Oryctolagus cuniculus: one gene and its partner. The protein of the gene in region 2 binds, or shares a complex with, the protein of the main gene of each other region. Links are inferred from orthologs where the notes say so. Each region holds a gene or a part of one and is shown on either strand. Other genes may lie near its edges.

Region 1 (10,123 bases), on a different chromosome or scaffold from region 2:
GGCGGTGATGCTGGGTCGCCGCTTTGGGACCTAGGTGGGCGTGGCTGCGGAGCCCTGCCACGCCCCTGAGAGGTACTACCGGCCGGGGGCGGGGCCGGGGCGGGGCTGGGCAGCTGCCCGCGGCCACGCCGCTGTAGCGAGTTTATTCCTGGCTCTCCCGCCGCGGGCGGAGCAGCGCCGGGGCTATCTGCAGGCCCCGCCGGGCGCGGGGATCGGGTGAGCAGGGAGCGAGGCGCGGGGGAACCAGGTGAGCAGGACCCTGGTGCGGGCAGCGGAGCCACGCAGGTTCGAGGTGAGCCAGGACCCGTGCGGGCCCGGACTTCACCCCCTGCCGCCAGGGGGCGAGCGACGGCGGGGTCCAGGGGTTGCCCCCTCCCGGCACGGGGGCGTCCTCTCGGCGCGGGGGTGGAAGGGCGGTAAATCAGTAACCCACAGCGCACACAGGGCCTTTTGTCCCGCTCCGTCCAAAGAGCACCGTGGCCACGGAGCTGGTTACTCATTGCCCACCCGGGCGGGGGCGGGTGCAGCTCCCGGGGGAGGGGGACCCTTCGGCTCGCACCTCCCCCCGAAGGTGGCCGGGCGGGTGGGGAGAGCGCTCTTGTCCTTGGGCGGCAGAGCAGGGGAGGCCGACGCCCGGAGAGGTGCAGCGCTGGCCCAGGGCCCTCCGGCGCGGGAGTGCGGAGGCTGGATAACCCGGGACCGTCTGATGCTGGAGTCGGGAGCTCTGGTCCCACGCGCCGGGCGGGTGGCCAGCCGCCGCGGTGACCCGGCCAAGGTTTGAGGTTGGGAGGTCAGGGCAGCCTGGGGTCCCAGGCGTCCCCACCCCACTGCCCGCGGAGCTGTGCCCCGAGGCAGAGGGGGCGCTTTGCGGAGCCCTGGGGTGGGCTGGGCTCAGTCACAGAAAGAGCTGAGCGGGATGGAGAAGAGGGATGAAGGGCACGGAGGCGCCGGGTTTTGAAAGGCGGTGGGTTCCGTGCTCGTGAAGGGAGATTGGCCAGGGCAGAGAGGGGGCCTGGGAGACACACGAGCCGCGGGGACTGCTTCCTGCAGGGTGCAGGGAGCCTTTAACCGACGGAGGGGGCACTTGACAGACGTGTGTTTCCCAAAGCCCTTGCAGAGGCTGAGAACAGAGGAGGTTTGCAAAGGCCCAAGCAGACACCACCGTGGCCTGCCCCGGGGAGGGACAGGAAATACAGAGAGGGCTGGGAGGGGGGGACCCGGCTGCAGAGAGATGTGGTGGGCTTCCAGGAAGGCGCATCTGCAGACACCACTGACACCTGGCTGGCACCCAGCCCCAGGGAATAGCCAGTGGCTGCCTGGGACCACAGCCTGTCCCCTTGCTTGGTTCTGAGTGTTCCTTTGGGGGGACAGAGACGTGCTCAGTAGCACTGGGAAGAAAGTGACCAAATGAGATGGGTGTGCACCTCGTACCTGACAGGACCAGAGCTGACCGGCTGAGGGCAGACCAGGGTGACAGGTGACAAGAGGGGCGGGGAGGACATGCCAGTATGCCACGTGCCTAGTCCCCACATATATCACCGCTTTTATCTCAAAACAGCCTGGAGCGGGACAGCCCAGGACTTGCAAGCTGGTGGGAGCCGAGACTTGAACTTGGTGCTGACACTTTAGAGTCTACAGAAACTCCTGTGTGGGGTTGCGGGGCTTCCGAATGAGGCCCTCTCCCTGCTCCACGTGGGGAGTGCTGCCTTGTTGGTGCAAGCACCCAGTTGCTAGGCATGGGTGCCAGGAATACCCTAGGGGTAGGGGTCAGCCCCAACAACATGCAGCTGCTGACGTTTGGCCTGCTATCACATTTCACTTTTTTTTTTTTTTTGGCTCTTCAGCAATAAATTTCTTTATTCAGCAAAAAGTAAATTATGTGTGCTGAGAGCGAACAGCAGATATTTCTCCATTCTCTGCCTCGCTCCAAGGAAAGAATCCCCAAACTGCTCTTTCTGTGAACTTGTGCCAGGGTCTCAGCAGGACCCAGGCAGAGCAGGAAGCCGAGCCCAGCTCCCCCTGCACCAGCAACCAGGGGGAGGCCCTGGGCTCCGGCAGCGGCAGCAGCAACAGAGCTGGTTCCAGTCTCTGCCTTGCCACAGCCGGGCTAGGGGCTTGGACCAACCTGCCTCAGTTTCTTCATCTGCAAAATAGGGCAATAGCGCTGGCCCAGACGCACGTGTGGCAGCTGCTCTTTTTGCCCCCTGTTCCAGGAGTTCCAGCCTGAGTCCTGGGAGCTGCAGGAAGATGTGGGTGCTACTGGCCCTGCTGGGGGTCCTGCTGGGGGCACCTGGGGCTCCAGCCTTGTCCCTTGAGGCTTCTGAGGAAGTGGAGCTGGGTATGGCCCCAAAGGTGGGAGAGGGTCGCAGGGGTGGGAAGCGTGAACCTGGGAGGGGGCTGCTGGCTGAGCAGAGCCGGAGAGGGTCCCAGCCCAAGCCCTGAGAAGGCGGTGGCAGGGCAGGCCTCAGCCTCTGAGACTCTGTGTCTGGCTCCCAGCAAGCGGCCACTATCTATCACTGCGCTCCAGAGGACGGGCCTTGCAGGGCGCTGGGCCCTCAGCTGGGCTGCAGAGCCGGGGGTGAGCGCTTGGCTGCGTGGGTGTGTGTGTGTGTGTGTGTGTGTGTTCTGTGCATCAGTGTGTAGCTTGGCGGCCCAGGCAGCACGTGTGGCACGTATAGCATGTGCCTTTGAGTGTCTGTGTATGTGTGTGTACGTGTGTCCCGAGTGTAGCATGTCCAGCATGCGTGCCAAGTACTTGTGTGCGTGTGGCCCACCTCGGCGCTGTGGCGTGGGCCCACAGCTGCGTGCGGAGGAGTGGCATGTCCAGCACGTGTCCTTGGGTGCCCGGGCCCCACGTGGGCAGCATGTTCTTCATACGCAAGGGGGCCGCCTCCCATCGGAGTGGCGGGGCTCACTGCGTTCTGTGCTCGGCCCACAGAACCCTGCCCAGCCCCCAGCCTGGAACAGCCCGAGCAGGAACTGACCGTGGCCCTTGGGCAGCCCGTGCGGCTGTGCTGCAGGCGGGCTGAGCGGGGCGGCCACTGGTACAAGGAGGGCAGTCGCTTAGCACCTGCCGGCCGGGTGCGGGGCTGGAGGGGCCGCCTGGAGATTGCCAGCTTCCTGCCCGAGGATGCCGGCCGCTACCTCTGCCTGGCTCGAGGCTCCATGACGGTCCTGCACAATCTCACCTTGGCTGTGGATGGTAAGAGGGGCTGGCGGGGGCGGCTGAGGTCCCCGGGGAGAGAGACTCCCTCTCTTGGTCCTCAGATGCTTGCTCTGTCCCTGACACAGACTCCTCGGTCTCCAGTGACGATCCTGAGGACCCCAAGGCCCACAGGGGCTCCCCGAACAGGCACAGTTACCCTCAGCAAGGTCGGTGTGAGGCTTCCAGGACTCGTGTCCACATCGCCCCATCTGGTCACTGAAACGAGGGGTGGGGGGCACTCAGTACGCCCACCTCCTCCCCCCCCAGCTCCATACTGGACACACCCCCAGCGCATGGAGAAGAAACTGCATGCAGTGCCTGCCGGGAACACCATCAAGTTCCGCTGCCCAGCCGCAGGCAACCCCATGCCCACCATCCGCTGGCTCAAGGACGGACAGGCCTTCCATGGGGAGAACCGCATTGGAGGGATTCGGGTGAGGCTGTGGAGTCCCAGACCATCTGCTCCCAGACTTCATTTCCCCCCGGGCCCCTGGCACCTGTGAATCTAATGTGGAAGGCAACTGGGAAGCACCAGGCTTCAGACTGGGGCGATCCGGCTACCCCACCAAGTGCCTTCCCCGCTCAGCAACCCCAACTGTGCGGCTGGAAGAACCCCGGGCCAGCAAGCCTCAGGACGCTTTGGCATCTCCTCTCTCTCTTTAAGATTGATTTATTTGAAAGGCAGAGTTACAGAGAGGTAGAGAGAGAGAGAGGTCTTCCATCCACTGGTTCACTCCCCAAATGGTCGCAATGGCCAGGGCTGCGCCTGTCCAAAGCCAGGAGCCAGGAGCTTCTTCCAGGTCTCCTGTGCGGCCTGCACAGAGGAAGCTACAGCTCAGAGAGGGCAATCACTCCATGCTCAGGTGGCCCAGCGAGGGAGAGGCAGACTCAAAAGTCTCCCACCGCAGGCTCTCAGGTCCCCCAGGCCTTCTCCTGTGTCCCAAGATCTACACCCTTGGCCTGACCTCAGAGTCTAAGCTTGTGGACAAGACGCAGCCTCCTCGTGCCCTGTCCCCTCTGGGAGATGGGGGTTCCATGGCGGCCCCTTCCTCTGCCCCAGCTGCGCCACCAACACTGGAGCCTGGTGATGGAAAGCGTGGTGCCCTCGGACCGGGGCACGTACACCTGCCTGGTGGAGAACCCTCTGGGCAGCATCCGCTACAGCTACCTGCTGGATGTGCTGGGTGAGCGCATGGGCGGGGGGAAGCCGTGCATGGGGGGCAGGGCAGGTAACACAGACTGGGCCTCAGCTGGGGCAAGCAGCTCAAAGTGACCAGGTGGCCCAGAGGGTGACACCCGGAGTCAGGGGGTCTGCCCAGAGCGGGAATGAGAAGAGCAGGGGGGCCGAGAGCTGCAGCACAGCTAAGGCACCAGAGTGCAGGGGTGCAGTGCATTTGCAAGGAGATGCCCGTCTGAGGTGTGGCATTTACGGGGGACCCGGCCCTGGAGGGTTTTGAATGCTAGGCTGAGAAGTCATTCTTCACCCAAAGGTAGCAGGGAGCCATAGAAGGTTTAAGTAGGGTAGCGGGCGCTGGCCACGGTTTGAGCTGCCTGTTAGGAAGGGCCTTCCTGGAAGAGGCAGGGGAGCAGGGTGCCTGTCCGGGTGCCGCTGCTCAGGGTTCACGGCCCGACCCGGCCCCCAGAGCGCTCCCCGCACCGGCCCATCCTGCAGGCGGGGCTGCCGGCCAACACCACGGCTGTGGCGGGCAGTGACGTGGAGCTGCTGTGCAAGGTGTACAGTGATGCCCAGCCCCACATCCAGTGGCTGAAACACATCGTCATCAACGGCAGCAGCTTTGGCGCCGACGGCTTCCCCTATGTGCAAGTGCTGAAGGTGCATAAGCCCTCCCCTCCTGCCACCCATGGCTGGGGAGCGGGGGACCCAGCGGCCGCCCCAAGCCCTGCCGTCACCCCCTAATGTGTCCCTCTTCTCCAGACCGCAGACATCAACAGCTCCGAAGTGGAAGTCCTGTACCTGCGAAACGTTTCGGCCGAGGACGCGGGCGAGTACACCTGCCTGGCCGGCAACTCCATCGGCCTCTCCTACCAGTCGGCCTGGCTCACCGTGCTGCCAGGTGAGCGCCTTAGGGGGCCGGAGCAGGCTGCCATCTTACTTGGTCCCTATTGTGGTCTCTGGTGAATCCGTGAGGTCTGGGCTGGGGGGTGTGGCCCATGGGTTTATGGGTTTCATTCTGCACGTGGCTGTCTGTGGCACCTTCTGGGGTATAGGTGTTTGAGATGGGTCTGACTGCCGCTTTCTTAGTATGTGTGCATGTATGTGTGTGTGTGCATGTGCAAAGCCTGAGACAGAGAGCGCAGGGCTGGCCAGCCTGACCACTCACCAGTCCATTTGTCCATCTTTCTCTGTGTGCATCTGTCTGCGCGGGCAGAGGAGGACCCCACATGGACAGCAGCCTCACCCGAGGCCAGGTACACAGACATCATCCTGTATGCCTCTGGCTCTCTGGCTCTGGCTGTGCTCCTGCTGCTGGCCGGGTTATACCGAGGGCAGGTGCTCCACGGCCGGCGTGCTCGGCAGCCCGCCACGGTGCAGAAGTTGTCCCGCTTCCCTCTGGCCCGACAGGTACCGTGCTCAGCCCCAGCCCCATGCCCTACCCGCCGAGTCAGGGCCTCAGCCTGCCTGCAGCAGGCTCAGCCACGCCTCCTACTTTCCAGTTCTCTCTGGAGTCGGGCTCCTCAGGCAAGTCGAGTTCGTCCCTGGTGCGAGGCGTCCGGCTCTCCTCCAGCGGCCCCCCCTTGCTCGCTGGCCTCGTGAGTCTAGACCTCCCTCTGGACCCGCTGTGGGAGTTCCCCCGGGACAGGTACACTGAGCCGAGACAAGGACGGGCACGCAGCCTCTCTGCTGGTGTGCCACCTGGGCTCTGAGGGCTGGCCTCTCCGCACACCTAGGTTGGTGCTTGGGAAGCCGCTGGGAGAGGGCTGCTTCGGGCAGGTGGTGCGTGCAGAGGCCTTCGGCATGGACCCTGCCCGCCCTGACCAAGCTAGCACCGTGGCCGTCAAGATGCTCAAGGGTGAGTGTGTGTGGAGCCTGGGGGCAGGTGCACCTGTGGGGCTCACAGTGGAGAGCAGGGGCCTGGGGAGGAGGGTAGGCTGGGAGAGGCCTGCGACCCTGCCCTTGGCCCGCAGTCCAAGTCTGCTCTGACGCTGGCAGGTCGCTTTCAAGTCCGTCTCCCCTTGCGTCACATGGGGTGAATAATAGGGCCCCTACCTCCCGGCCCACGGTTCTTGGCGAGTGCCTGGCACATGGTCAGGGCCCATCAGATCCTAGCCGTCGGGGCAAGGATGATGGTGAGGATTTGGGGTGACTGAGTTCTGTATCCTCCATCAGTTCTGCCAGTGTCAGCCTTGGCCACAGGTCTCCTTGAACCTCGCATCCCCCATGGTCCCCCAGACACACCTGCAGCCTTCCCTGGGCCCTTCCCAGGTCTGGCCTCTGTGCCCAGCACCCTGGAAGAGCAGCACTTCTGCGTAAAGTCAGTGCCAGACCCTAGGAGCTGCCCACTGGAGCCTTTTACTGCCTTCCCCCAGCCCCCTCTCCCAAGGAGCCCAAGCCGCTCCTCTCCCCCCTCCGCCCTCCTCCCTCCGGCCCTCTTCCTCCCTCCTTCTCCTGTCTCAGAGCAGCTGGGGCCACCTGGCACTTTCTGGGAGGCAGGGATTGGGAAACAGCCTTGTGATAGTGGCGTGCGTGGGGGTGGGGGCGGGGGCGGGGGCGGGGGCGCTGCGCCACTGACCCGGGGCCGCAGGTCAGTTCCGGAGCCCGGCCGCTGGTCCTCAGCCTTCTCTCCAGCCGCTCCCCTCTCTGAGCTGTGCTGGCAGCTCCCAGAATTCCCAGGCCGGATGGATGCCAGGCCCTGGTCAGACAGAGGCCTCAGGGCGCCAGCCTGCTTCCCACCCCCGCTGAGGGACCAGCGCCAACCCTTCCCAAGGCAGCTTCCTTCCTGTCCCAGCTCTCCCCGTCTCCCGTCTCCCGTCTCTCTCTGGAAGGCCTCCCTCTTTCAGATCCTCAATGCCATTGCATCCTGAGAGGGAGGGCTGATCCACTGTTGGGTTCCGCACGAGTGAACCCTGAGGTTCCGAGAGGTTACGCACAGCCTGGTGGGGATGCAGCCGCAGAGCTGCCCCTCCCCCGCCCCGCCCTGAGCAGCTAGATGGCAGCTTCCCCACCCATTGCAGACAACGCCTCAGACAAGGACCTGGCCGACCTGGTGTCTGAGATGGAGGTGATGAAGCTGATAGGCCAGCACAAGAACATCATCAACCTGCTAGGCGTCTGCACCCAGGAAGGTGCGGCTGGGCGGGGCTCGGGGCACGGGCAGGCGCTGGCCGGCAGAGCCGCCTGTGACCTCAGTGGCCTCTCTGTGCCCCTCCCCGCCAGGGCCCCTGTACGTGATTGTGGAATGTGCGGCCAAGGGAAACTTGCGGGAGTTCCTGCGGGCCCGGCGGCCCCCGGGCCCCGACCTCAGCCCCGAAGGACCGAGGAGCAGTGAGGGGCCACTGTCCTTCCCGGCCCTGGTCTCCTGTGCCTACCAGGTGGCGCGCGGCATGCAGTACCTGGAGTCGCAGAAGGTGTGGCCGCGGCCATGCTCTGGCCCCTCTGCCCTTGCCCCCCTCATCTCCCCTTTCCCGTTGCCGCCTAAATGTCCCCAGAGCTTCACACCCCTGCCCTTGGCACTGCGCAGCTGACACTTCCTGTCCCCATTTGGTTCATCCTGACCCAGGGGCAGGGCTGGGGAGAAGACCCAGGCCCTGAAGCCAGACGGCTTAGCTCTCCCTTTCCCAGTCACAACTTCCCCATCTGTAAAATGGGTGGAAGATGCATGTGCCCAGCTCCCAGCCATGTGTTCCTGTAAACCCAAGCCCCGTGTCACATGCCTGCCTTTCCCCCAGTGCATCCACCGGGACCTGGCTGCCCGCAACGTGCTGGTGACCGAGGACAACGTGATGAAAATCGCCGACTTCGGGCTGGCCCGAGGCGTCCACCACATTGACTACTACAAGAAAACCAGCAATGTGAGGGCGGCGGGGGCTGGGGGCTGGGGGCCCAGGCCTGGGGCTGGCGGGACTCCACCAATGCCACCCCTCTCCCTCCAGGGCCGCCTGCCTGTCAAGTGGATGGCCCCCGAGGCCTTGTTTGACCGAGTGTACACACACCAGAGTGATGTGTAAGACCTGCGACCTGAGGTCGGGGTGCCTGCCAGGGGTCATCACCCCCAGCCCTGTGTAGCCCACACCCGCTGGGCCCCCTGCAGTGGGCAGGGGAGCTGTGCCCTGCTGATCCTCTGTCCTGCCTCCAGGTGGTCATTTGGGATCCTGCTCTGGGAGATCTTCACACTTGGGGGCTCCCCGTACCCCGGCATCCCCGTGGAGGAACTGTTCTCACTGCTGCGGGAGGGCCATCGGATGGACCGGCCCCCACACTGCCCCCCAGAGCTGTGAGGCTGGCCCACACTCCCCACCCTCCAGTCCTCAGCCCCTGCCTTGACCTTGGCTGGTCCTGAGGGCAATGCCTCCTCCCTCTCTTCCCCTCCCTTCCCCCTCCTCCTCCTGGGTCCAGAGGGGAGGCCTAGGCGGGGTCCCCGCCCTTCCACTGGCTGGCCCCACCCACCGCTCCCCCTCCCAGGGCCACGAGGCCCCTCCCCCAGGCCTGAGGCTGCTCCTAACCTCCCCAGGTACGGGCTGATGCGCGAGTGCTGGCACGCGGCGCCTTCCCAGAGACCCACCTTCAAGCAGCTGGTAGAAGCGCTGGACAAGGTGCTGCTGGCGGTCTCTGAGGAGGTACTGCCCCCTGCCCGCCCCGAGCCTCCTGCTGCTGCCCACTGCGCTTGCGCAGGCTCACGTGTTCTGTTCCCCGCAGTACCTCGACCTCCGCCTGACCTTTGGACCCTACTCCCCCTCCGGAGGAGACACCAGCAGCACCTGTTCCTCCAATGACTCTGTCTTCAGTCACGACCCCTTACCATTGGGGCCCAGCCCCTTCCCCTTCCCTGGGGTACAGACGTGAGCAGGGGCCTCCTGGCTCAGCCACAATCTAAGCACTGTTTGACCTTGGCAATCCGGGGGCCCTGACCTTGGGGTGCCATTCCAGATCTCTGACTCCACTCTGGGGAGGTCGGTCTTTAGCCCATGGGTCCAGTTGAGGCTTCCCGCGCTCTGGCCCCGGGTTCCCAGCCCAGAGTTCAGCCCTGGGCATGAGGCCCTGCCCTTGGGGTTCGGCTGCCAATGTCCCAGTAGCCTGAGTGTTGGCGTCCTGCTTAGGGGTTTGGCTGGGCCTGGCTCCAGACTGCTCTTCTGAACCTGCTTCCCAACAGCAACAGAGGTTTGGAGATCGGAACCCTATGTCCCCAAGCGCCCCCACCCCGATCTTCCCAGCTCTCGGTGGAAGGAGCATTGACCCCTGTGCCCCTGGGAGGCTGGGAGCCGAAAGCACAGACACAAATGGCCTTTTTATAAATTATTGTTTTTTGAAATAAACCTGTGTATGCCTGGTGTCTTTCCCCGAGGGGCATGGAGGGAGGGGGTGCAGGATGGAGGCACTCCTGAGTGACACAGACCCAAGGGGCTGAGTGCCAGGCCTCGGGTTTCCAGGAGTCCATATGGGCCTTGGCCTTGGCCCCGCCCATCCTATGCCCTGCCCACATATGTGTGCATGCATACGTGCAACTTGTCTGTCCCCAAGGGAGCTGCTGGCTTTCCCCCCCCCACCACCTGTTCAGCATTAACCAAGCTGATCAGCAAAAACAGGACAACCTGAAACCCTGCCCCAGCCCTGCCGGCTCGCTCCCACGCGCTGGTGGTGGGGGCCGTGCCCACCCCCCGCACTCCCGGCCTGGCCAGTCTCCCAGCAGCAGCTGGCTGCTGCCTGGCTGGACTGCAGCTGTCCCTGCTTGCCTGGCCCTC
Region 2 (10,123 bases):
GCAGCCTGGGGAATCACTCGCTGCTCTTCTCCTAATGCTGCAGCAGGTCAGCTTTAGAGCTTCCTGCCTGTTTCCTTGTGCGTGTGCTATCCAACCTTTGGCCAAAGCCTGCTGTGAATGCGCATTCAGACTTCTGAAGGCTCCCTCTTCTCGGCTACCCTGCCCTGCAAAGGGCAGCTTTTCTGTCAGCTCAGTGACACTGCCGCTCGGCCTGGGTTCTACCTCCTGTGCTGTGGCTATCAAGCAGCCTTGAGACAGAAAGTTGGATGATTGTGGCTCTTACCTCCTGAGTTATTTTTCTCCAGAGGATCATAGCCCTGAGCTACACCATGCCTGGAAACAACTACTTCCTATTTACATATTTCTGTTTTATAGTTTTGACAAGAGAGCAGATCTGGGTAGCATTTACTCCATCATGACTAGAAGAGGAACCTATGTGATTCTCAATGTTGGATGAGTTATAATGCAAGAAAGATCTATATAGGAGTCACTGCCGTGGCTTAGCAGGTGAAACCTCTACCTGCAGTGCCGGCATCCCATAGGGCATCAGTTCGAGTCCTGGCTGCTCCACTTCCAATCCAGCTCTCTGCCATGGCCTGGGAAAGCAGTAGAAGATGGCCCAAGTGTTTGGGCCCCTGCACCTGCTTGAGTGACCAGGAGGAAGCTCCTTGCGCAGCTGAGGCCATTGCGGCCATTGCGGCCATCTGGGGAGTGAACCAGCGGATGGAAAACCTCTCTCTTTCTCTCCCTCACTCTCTCTGCCTCTGCCTCTCTGTAACTCTGCCTTTCAAATAAATAAATCTTTTTTTTTAAAGAAAGATCTATATAAACAGTAAATCTCCGTATAAATATATATTGGTGTTGTGATGACATCTTTGGCAAGGATTTGTAATTATGTAGACAGGAAAAAGACTGGGCTTTTTTTTTTTTTGACAGGCAGAGTGGACAGTGAGAGAGAGAGACAGAGAGAAAGGTCTTCCTTTGCCGTTGGTTCACCCTCCAATGGCCGCCGCGGCTGGCGCGCTGCGGCCGGTGCACCACGCTGATCCGATAGCAGGAGCCAGGTACTTATCCTGGTCTCCCATGGGGTGCAGGGCCCAAGCACCTGGGCCATCCTCCACTGCACTCCCTGGCCACAGCAGAGAGCTGGCCTGGAAGAGGGGCAACCGGGACAGAATCCGGTGTGCCGGAGCCGCTAGGTGGAGGATTAGCCTATTGAGCCGCAGTGCTGGCCAAGATTGGGCTTTAAACACTGGAAAATCTGCCCATGGTGAGGTTGTTGAAGCCTCTAGCAGTCAGTTTGAAATATATAGAACTGAACACACACACACACACACACACACACGAGTCACACTCACGACATTGACATTTCTGTTCCCTTACCCCCTACCATCCTCACCCCACCTATTGCTTTGTGTTAAAGGCTCTGCTTTTCCTTTCTTTAGTCAGGGATGGCTTTCCTGAAGAAACAAAAGAACCCCGGAAGCCTGTGGAAGAGAAATGGCCGCAGTACCTCTTTTTTTCTTCTTCATCGCTTCATCCTCCCGCTGTAAGGGGATGAAGGCCTGTTTATTCCCAAGAGCTTATTTGTCACTGCTCCATTTCTATGGGTTTTTGGGTCCAGTGGGCCAAAAACAAAATGAAGAATCACTCGGCCCTTCTGCCTTTTTTTGGTAAAGGATTTATTTACTATTTATTTAAAAGAGTTATATAGAGGCAGAGGGGGGGGGAGAGGGAGAGGGAGAGGGAGAGGGAGAGAGAGAGAGAGAGAGAGAGAGATCCTCCATCCACTGGTTCACTTCCAAAGTAGCCGCAATGGCTAGAGCTGAGCTGATCTGAAGCCAGGAGCCAGGAGTCTCCTCTGGGTCTCCCATGCAGGTGCAGGGACCCAAGCACTTGGGCCATTTTCTACTGCTTTCCCAGGCCATAGCAGAGAGCTGGATCGGAAGTGGAGCAGCCGGGACTCAAACTGGCTCCCATATGGGATGCCGGCACTGCAGGTGATGGCTTTACCCACTATATTCCTGCTTATTTATATTTATATATTTGAGAGGCAGAGACACACACGCAAAGGGAGAGACAGCAACAGACACACTGAGATCTCCCATCCGCTGTGTCACTACCCAAATGCCCTCAACAGCTGGGGTTGGGCCAGGCCAAAACCAATAGCCAGGAACTCAGTCAAGATCTCTGGTGTGTGGGTTTCAGGAACCTTGCCAAGTACTTGCATTAACACGAACCTGGAATCAGGAGTAGAGCCAGGCACTTTGATATGGGATGCAGGCATCCAATAACCACTATGCCAAATGCCCATCCCTTGAGAGAACTCCGGAAGGAACATCAACCAGCCTTTGAAAACTCTGTTTTGTGTGATCAAAGAAGTACAGCGTTTCAGCGTCTACTGGGGATGGTGCTCCTGTGCCCTTAGAATGGAGAGCGTCAGCAAGTCTCAAGGGAGACTTAAGAAGAAAATTCCCTTGGGAGACTTGGTCAGAAGGTGGTTTGAATACCAAAGTGGTGAACCACTATGTACTACTTCTTTTTTTTTTTTTTTTTTACAGGCAGAGTGGACAGTGAGAGAGAGACAGAGAGAAAGGTCTTCCTTTGCCGTTGGTTCACCCTCCAATGGCCGCCACGGCCGGTGCACCGCGCTGATCTGAAGGCAAGAGCCAGGTGCTTCTCCTGGTCTCCCATGGGGTGCAGGGCCCAAGCACTTGGGCCATCCTCCACTGCACTCCCTGGCCACAGCAGAGAGCTGGCCTGGAAGAGGGGCAACCAGGACAGAATCCGGCACCCCAACTGGGACTAGAACCCGGTGTGCCGGAGCCGCTAGGTGGAGGATTAGCCTAGTGAGCCGCGGTGCCCGCCCCACTATGTACTTTTACATTAATTATTAAAAGGGAGGAGTTGATAGCTAAGACCAGGTCATGAAAAGCCAACTATGGCTTGAAGGGCTGTGAATTCCGTGTCAGTGTGTCAGGAGCGTCTTTGCATCCTGTGTTTTGCTAGTCTGATGGAGACCAAAGAGAGAGCTCTGAGAACCCCGGCCTTGGAAGGACAGGGTGCGCAGACTCCTGAACTGGGTGATATCCTACCAGGTCTCACAGGGCAGCAACTCAGCTGATGTCTTAAGTTTACGAGACACTGCTGTGGTTGTATCAGTGTGCATTTTTCAAATAAAGATGATTTCTCTCTTTAAAGAAATTACTTTAGGGACAGAATGATCAAAAGTCTAATACTGGTAAAATTTCCTTGTTTTCAATAATTCTATCTGGATTAATAAAACTTGTTTTCTTAGTGTGCTTATACATGGGAAAAAATCTGAATATTTAAAAATTCCGATGCCAATTTTGGTTTCTCTGGATTTCCCCAATGCTCCACTCCCACCATCCCTTTAAAAAATTTTTTTTAAACTTCCGAAACAAGTCAGTTTCTTTTTTTTCTTTCCTCTTTCTTTTCTTTCTTTTTTTTTTTTTTAAGATTATTTATTTACTTGAAAGAGTTACACAGAGAGAAGGAGAGTGGGGGAGGGAGAGAGAGAGAGAGAGAAAGAGAGAGAGAGAGAGAGAGAAAGGTCGGTCTTCCACCCGCTGGTTCATTCCCTAATTGGCTGCAACAGCCAGAGCTGCGCCAATCTGAAGCCAGGAGCTTCTTTGCAGTCTCTCATATGGGTACTGGGGCCCAAGCACTTGGACCATCTTCTACTGCTTTCTCAGGCCATAGCAGAGAGCTGGATCAGAAGCAGAGCAGCCGGGACTTGAACCAGCACCCATGTAGGATGCCGGAACTGCAGGCAGCTGCTTTACCCATTATGCCACAGCCCTGCCCCACCCCCACCATCCTTTTTATCCCCTTGCCCCGACATGCTTTCATGAGTAATACAGAAAAGCAGACACTATGAGAAGCTGAGATGAGTTTTATTTTTCTCTTAAACAGAAGAAAAAAAGTAGGGTTACATTTTCATAAATATATATAAATACGGAGTGACAGGCAACATTCTTCCAAATAAATAAATAAATATTGCCACACGCTAAGGGACATCAAAGAAGTGATAGGGGCCACCTTGGCTCTGCCCAGAAGAACCCCTCATGGTGGTGTTGAGGTTGTAGGATTGCAATCATTTTTCTACCGAGTCCTTTTGGGATTCTTTCCACCTAGTTGTCAGTATGGGGAGCCTCTACCAGCTAGCATCCAGGATAGTATCCCCAACAGGAAATGAACACTATTGAAGTATTTGCTAGGCATGGCTATATACTATGATACACAGCTTTAGTGTTTCAGGAGAGGAACTGGCCCTTCAAGTTCAGCTAAAAACTATCAGGAAAAAAGCAGTTGTCCAATGCGAGTAGACAAGGGCTCTGTTGGCCTATATGGTGGCAGTTACAGACAGTGGTGACTGGCACGAAGCTGTTGTTGGGATCTGTGTTTCAGGTGTATTCTGTAGTTTAGGTGGGTGCTAAAATGGAGGTAGGAAAATAAGGCCCCCTTGTAGGGCCAACGTCAATCCCAGCTCTTGGGCATCCCTACTTGAGGCTTTGTTCTGCTCAGTACAACACTGAGGCTCCTGGGACAGGAAGCTGTCTTCAGTTAATGCCCGCAAAATTTCCAAGTGGATTGAGACCCAGGTGTGTCTGCCTAGCAGTGTTTAAAGTAATCCAATAGCTGCTATTCCACAGCACGAACGAAATCATGGTCAAGATCGTTTCCTAATTCCTACAATTTAGTCCCCTGGTTATTGGACTTCTCCCCGCTACCCATGAGCCCTCAATGCCACTTCACTTAGGAAAAGGGACACGATCCTTTGGTCCACAGACGGCCTACCCCAGAGCAGCCCGAGCGTCTCAAGGCCTCTGCCCCAGTCCCATTTTTTGTAATTCATCCAGGATGGATGATTATTGAGTCTGGAAGGAGAGGCTTAACAAAGTGCCTCTTGGGAGAGTTTGAATGCCTTTTCCATTTTGTAACACCAATCTAGATTTTCATGACCCTGTACGAAAGCTGGTCCTTGGGCCAGATTCACTAAGGGCAAAGATGGGGCCCAGAGGTGAGGCGATCTCCCAAGCCTGTTGGGAGCAGGGTCATTTCTTGCTTTCTGGCTCTGGCTGCACAGAGGGAGAGAGAGGGGTAAAGGGTGCCTCTCTCCCGGCAGGGAAGCTGAGTTCCCCGGCGAGGTTTTGGACACCAGGCACCCTAGATGCTGCCTTTTCCCACAGTTCTTCTCCAGAGATGCCTGAGGAAGAACAAAGGCTGGAGACCCGTGTTTTCATCAGCTTGCCCAATCCAGCTGTTAGCAGCAAGTCCTGCAGACCCAAATGCCAACAGGATCAGGGCAGGAACACATACCCTCAGATCCATGGAGAAGCTGCCGGAATTCTCTCCCGCCCTGCACCTTGCGCGTTACTGAGCTCGCCAAGCTATTGCTTTACCTTAATGCCAAACTGAGTAAGAAGAGAGGCCGAGGGAAGAGATGGAAGAGATATAGAAGGGGGACAGGGAATGGGGAGGAAGGAGTCCCTGTTTCTCATTTACCTGTTGGGGTTGCTCATTCAGAAAGGTAGGGTTATAGGGGTGAGGAAGGTGGTGAGACGACTCTCGGAGAAAGGACTGGAGAGCAGCAGCTGATTCCACACCACCTTCCCCATCCATCGAGGGGCAAGGGAGGGAGCTGGTCCCTATACAGAGTTTAGTTTGCTAAAGGAGAGTTAATGAGGCTCCCTTGGCATCCCTAGATGAACTTGGGGAAATGGTGGCACCTTTCCGGGCCCATCCTGTCCCCGTGCATGTTCACCCTATTGCCCCGGAGCACTCCGAAGGGGTCGCTGGCCACCAGGCCATTGTCTTCAGCACTTGGGGCCTCCTGTGAGCAGGAGGCTGGGGCCGGGGTCAGCCGGAACCTGGGCTTCAGCACGTTCAGCGGGTCCTGCTCCCAGGCGTCCTCGGCGCTCCGGGTGTGCCTTCGCGGCCTCGGCGTGTTGAAGTGGATCAGGGGGATCTCGTTCCTCCGGGACAGGAACTGGGAATAGGGTGGCGGGTTCATGCCTGGCAGGAAGGGCCTCTTGGCCCGGCCCAGGCTGACCAGGAAGTGATGCTCCGGAGAGTGGTAGACGTCGTACCCGTTTTCCAGCGTCCTGTGTCTGAACCTGCAGTTCTGGGGGTCGAAGTAATGCTGGAGAGGCAAGAGGGAAGTGTGTGAAGGCTGGGGATGTGGGCCTGGGACCCCAGACCCTACCCCCACACACACACACTGGGGCCTTAGGCTGTGTGCCAACCGGCCCAAAGGCCCAGAAGGCTCTCTTGTGTCCAGCTTTGACTTGTTGACTTAGTCCACACACCATTAAGTAGCACTGTTTAACCTCCTGGGTCCCCTCTCGGGGACAGTGATGGTGACAGATGCCTTCTAGGTTGCCCAAGCACTGAATATAGTCCCAACTTCCAGGGAGTGGCCGCCGCTAGGGTGCACAGCTCATGGCTTTGATACCTGGGCTGGGCAGCACCCCAGAGAGAGCTGACACCAATGGCTGCATTCAGGGTTTGGAGCCAGGGCTGTTACACGTCACCTCCTCCTCCCCTACTCTCTACCTTTTTGAATCCTCTCCTGGCTGGAAGCTGATGGGCTTGCGTCCTTGCCTGGATGGGGTTTGCACAATCAAAAGTGAGTGAGAGTAGTGACATCAGAGAGAGCATGTGGCTTGGAGATCAATGGCAAGAACTTTACTGAGAGCTGGCTGGGCTCCAGTACTCACTCCGCATCTAGTACTGAGTGAGGCTTACTGAGTGCCTATGAAGGCCTTTACGTGTATTTCATTTAACTTTCAAACTCCACACAGTAAATGTTTTACAGTTAGGAGCTGTGCTCGTCTAGATGTTCTGATGTTCCACAGATAAAGAGTGTCCTTCCGGGCAGGCAGTTAGGATCGGACACATCCCACATCCCACATCCCACATCCCACATCGCATATCGGAGTGCCCGGCTCTGGCTCCTGACTCCAGCCTCCTGCTAATGCACACCCTGGCAGGCAGTGGTGACGGCTCAAGTCATTGGGTCCCGGCCACCCACACAGGAGACCCCAAATGAGCTCTCAGCTCCTGGCTAAGGGCTACTGAAGGCATTTGGTGAGGGAACCAATGGATGGTAACACTTGTGTGTGCTCTCTCTCTTAAATATAAGTAAGTAAGTAAATAAATAAATGTAGATCCACTCTGGCTACATAATATTGTAGGAACTGGGACTTAGCAGGTACCCAAACAGAAAATCCCCATTTTGCGCCGTCTCTCTGAGTATGCCTGGTGGTAAAGAGAATCCTGAAATAAGCAGTTCCACTGTTTCACTATCTCAAAATCCACTGGGACGTGCCAGCCGGCTTTACTTTGAGGAACCTCTTGCTTGCCAATCTGAATGACCAGCGATCAGACTTGTGACAGAGGTGCTCCCTAATCATGTGGGCCACTCCACCACATTTTTTTTTCTGAGTGAAAAAGCTGAAGTTTGGGAAAGTGAGGGGACTGGTTAAGGTAGCAGCTTGCAACAGGTCCAAGCAGACACCATTAGCTTCTTGCCCGTTCTAATGTGCTTTATGGCATGCTTTCACATATCTCTAAGACCTACAACTATACACAGGGGTCTGTGCTAGATACAAGAATGGGCACCCATGGGCAGTGCAGACAAGGGACCGAGTGGCTGGGTTCTGGGGCCAGACAGACTGCGGTTCAAACCCCAGTTGTATAAATGTGAACATTTCAGATCAGACAAAAAAGTGTTCGCTGAGAACAGATGAGCAAGGCACCCGCAAAAGGAAGCTTCAAGCCAGAAAAGTCCATGTTTTCTGTTTTCCCGAAATAGATAACTATTGGAAAATGCAGATCCATAACCGCTGCCTCCCCGCACACACACACACACACACACACACACACTCACACACACTCACCGATCCAAAAATGTTGCCTCTGAAATCCATACAGAGGTACCTCCTGCTCATGACACCTGTTATCACCACGAAGCCAGCATCCTCCGATCTGATCATCAGGGCACCTATGGAGAGGAGCGTCCTGGTCAGAGACTGTTTGCACCTCCAATTCCCACCTTCAGGTACTTGCACCCTCACAAAACCTTCCTGTGTTGGTGTCAAAGATTGATGATGGCGTCACTCAATGCTCTCTCTCCACTTCTCTCTCTGTCTCAATCTCACACACACCCACTCACTGCCACACCCACCTCCTGCTGTGTGGGGCACTCTGAACTCACAGCATTCTCTCACCTGTGCTGTACACCTGTTTCTCTCTCTGCACCTGTACCCTCTCTGTCTCCCCTGTTGCCTGGCTAATGCCTCTTCCTGTCAGTGGTAGTGGTCATGTTCTTCCAAGCCTTCTGCGTTTGTAATTTTAAGGCTGTGCTGAGATCTCTGTCAAGGGTGCAGCCTGGAGGTAGAGTCCGGTTCTCCACCCAGCCAGCGGTGTAATAGTCTAATGCGTTCCACAGCACTCATCACGTGTCCAGAACTGTATTTGAGTAAGTCTCTCTCTCCCTTCTCTGCTAATGTTAAGCAGGAGCCCTACCCATTGGGCTCTAACTAGTCAATACCTAGTCTTTAGCTCCTTGGCAGTGAGCTACAGGGGAGCAGAGGCCTTATCTTTCCACGTTGAATGGCTATCAAGGCTGGATGGAACATTTTTCTTGGGTCTTCCTGACTGTCCTTGGTCCTTTCTCATGTGGTAGTTCCCATTCCATGGGCAACCCCTTGTGGTCTTTCAGTGTCTCCTCTCAAAGGCTGGTCTCCAGCCAGGGCCCGAAACCCATTCATGCTTCCTACACCATACATAATTGACAGTAGCTTTAAGTCTGACCCCTTCGCCCTCTGCCTCCGTGGAGACTGGTTCCAAGCTCAAAGGTCACAGCCATGTCAGGGCAAAGATTACCTGTACTGAGTCTAGGGGCATAGCGGCTGCCTGGGAAACCCACGAAGCTGCCAAATGCTGTCCATCTGAATCCCAGTAGGGGGTTGGTGGTGTGGCTTAGCAGGTTAAGCCTCCACCTGGGAAGCCAACATCACATATGGATGCTGGTTCGTGTTCTGGCTACTCTTTTTTTTTTTTTTTAAAGATTTATTTATTTGCTTGAAAGGCAGAGTTACAGAGAGGCAGAGGCAGAGGCAGAGGCAGAGAGAGAGAGAGAGAGAGAGAGAGAGAGAGAGAGAGGTCTTCCATCCATTGGTTCACTCCCCAGATGGCCACAATGGCCAGAGCTACGCCAATACGAAGCCAGGAGCTTCTTCCAGGTCTCCTACATGGGTGCAGGGGCCCAAACACTGGGGCCATTTTCTACTGCTTTCCCAGGCTATAGCAGAGAGCTGGATCAGAAGTGGAGCTACCGGGACTTGAACCAGCATCATATACCATAACAGCAGCCCTGTTCCTCTTCTGATCCAGCTCTCTGCTTATGGCCTGGGAAAGCACTGCTTAGGCCCCTACACCTGCATGGGAGACTGGTAAGAAGCTCCTGACTCCTGGCTTTGGCCTGTCCCAACCCCAGCTGTTGCGGCCAACTGGAGAGTGAACCAGCAGATGGAAGATCTCTCTTTTCTCTGTCTCTTCCTCTCTCTTTGTAACTATGACTTTCAAATAAATAAATTTAAAAAACAAACAAACAAATATTCCTTAGCTGTTCTCTACCCTTTCTTTCTATGGGAGTCAGAATAATGTGTCATCATCTATTCTCATGCATTTTAAATCACATGTAGCCTTTTTATGATTTATTTATTTGTTTGAAAGGCAGAGTTATGGGGGAAGGGAAGAGAGAGAAAGAGAGAGAGAGATCTTCCATCCACTAATTCACTCCCCAAATGGCTGCAACATCCAGATCTGGGCCGGACTGAAGCCAGGAGCCTGGAACTCCTTCTGGGTCTCCCACATGGGTGGCAGGGGTCCAAGCACTTGAGCTATCATCTGCTGGCTTTCCAGGTGCATTGGTAGGGAGCTGGATCAGAAGTGGAACAGCCAGGACTAGAACTGGAACTCATGTGATGCCAGCATTGCAGGCAGTGGCTAAACCCATTGCACCACAACGCTGGGCTCAGATCACAGACAGCTTTGCAGAGGAGGCCGAGGTGGCTTCCCCTGAGAGGTGCAA

What was found. The genes of interacting proteins can lie anywhere in the genome.
Region 1: the proteins of FGF23 (region 2) and FGFR4 are in contact, whole or in part, in a cryo-EM structure (PDB 7YSW), measured with the Homo sapiens proteins. The link is inferred for Oryctolagus cuniculus from reciprocal best matches to the Homo sapiens genes FGF23 and FGFR4. Residues at the interface, in NP_065689.1 of Homo sapiens: Leu32, Gly33, Ser35, Trp36, Gly37, Tyr43, Ala45, Thr46, Ala47, Arg48, Asn49, Ser50, Ile75, Arg76, Ser77, Glu78, Asp79, Ala80, Gly81, Val83, Val84, Tyr93, His117, Gln118, Thr119, Asn122, Gly123, Tyr124, Asp125, Leu158; in NP_001341913.1 of Homo sapiens: Glu156, Lys157, Lys158, Leu159, His160, Ala161, Val162, Pro163, Asn166, Asp240, Leu242, Glu243, Arg244, Ser245, Pro246, Lys272, Val273, Tyr274, Ser275, Asp276, Ala277, Gln278, Pro279, His280, Ala308, Asp309, Ile310, Ser312, Gly336, Asn337.

Annotation. Positions count from the first base shown.
Region 1 is NC_091437.1:63,112,719-63,122,841, forward strand, and holds FGFR4 (fibroblast growth factor receptor 4), read left to right. Parts: upstream 1-111; 5' UTR 112-247; exon of another isoform or gene 248-292; intron 293-613; exon of another isoform or gene 614-782; intron 783-2,213; 5' UTR 2,214-2,247; coding exon 2,248-2,338; exon of another isoform or gene 2,339-2,352; intron 2,353-2,938; coding exon 2,939-3,202; intron 3,203-3,291; coding exon 3,292-3,372; intron 3,373-3,472; coding exon 3,473-3,639; intron 3,640-4,265; coding exon 4,266-4,389; intron 4,390-4,848; coding exon 4,849-5,039; intron 5,040-5,141; coding exon 5,142-5,280; intron 5,281-5,595; coding exon 5,596-5,789; intron 5,790-5,881; coding exon 5,882-6,027; intron 6,028-6,115; coding exon 6,116-6,237; intron 6,238-7,399; coding exon 7,400-7,510; intron 7,511-7,601; coding exon 7,602-7,792; intron 7,793-8,113; coding exon 8,114-8,236; intron 8,237-8,317; coding exon 8,318-8,388; intron 8,389-8,520; coding exon 8,521-8,658; intron 8,659-8,895; coding exon 8,896-9,001; intron 9,002-9,080; and 3 more. UniProt on the Homo sapiens protein: Tyrosine-protein kinase that acts as a cell-surface receptor for fibroblast growth factors and plays a role in the regulation of cell proliferation, differentiation and migration, and in regulation of lipid metabolism, bile acid biosynthesis, glucose uptake, vitamin D metabolism and phosphate homeostasis.
Region 2 is NC_091440.1:105,068,139-105,078,261, reverse strand, and holds the end of FGF23 (fibroblast growth factor 23), read right to left. Parts: intron 8,030-10,123; coding exon 7,926-8,029; intron 6,167-7,925; coding exon 5,726-6,166; 3' UTR 3,902-5,725; downstream 1-3,901. UniProt on the Homo sapiens protein: Regulator of phosphate homeostasis. Inhibits renal tubular phosphate transport by reducing SLC34A1 levels. Up-regulates EGR1 expression in the presence of KL. Acts directly on the parathyroid to decrease PTH secretion. Regulator of vitamin-D metabolism.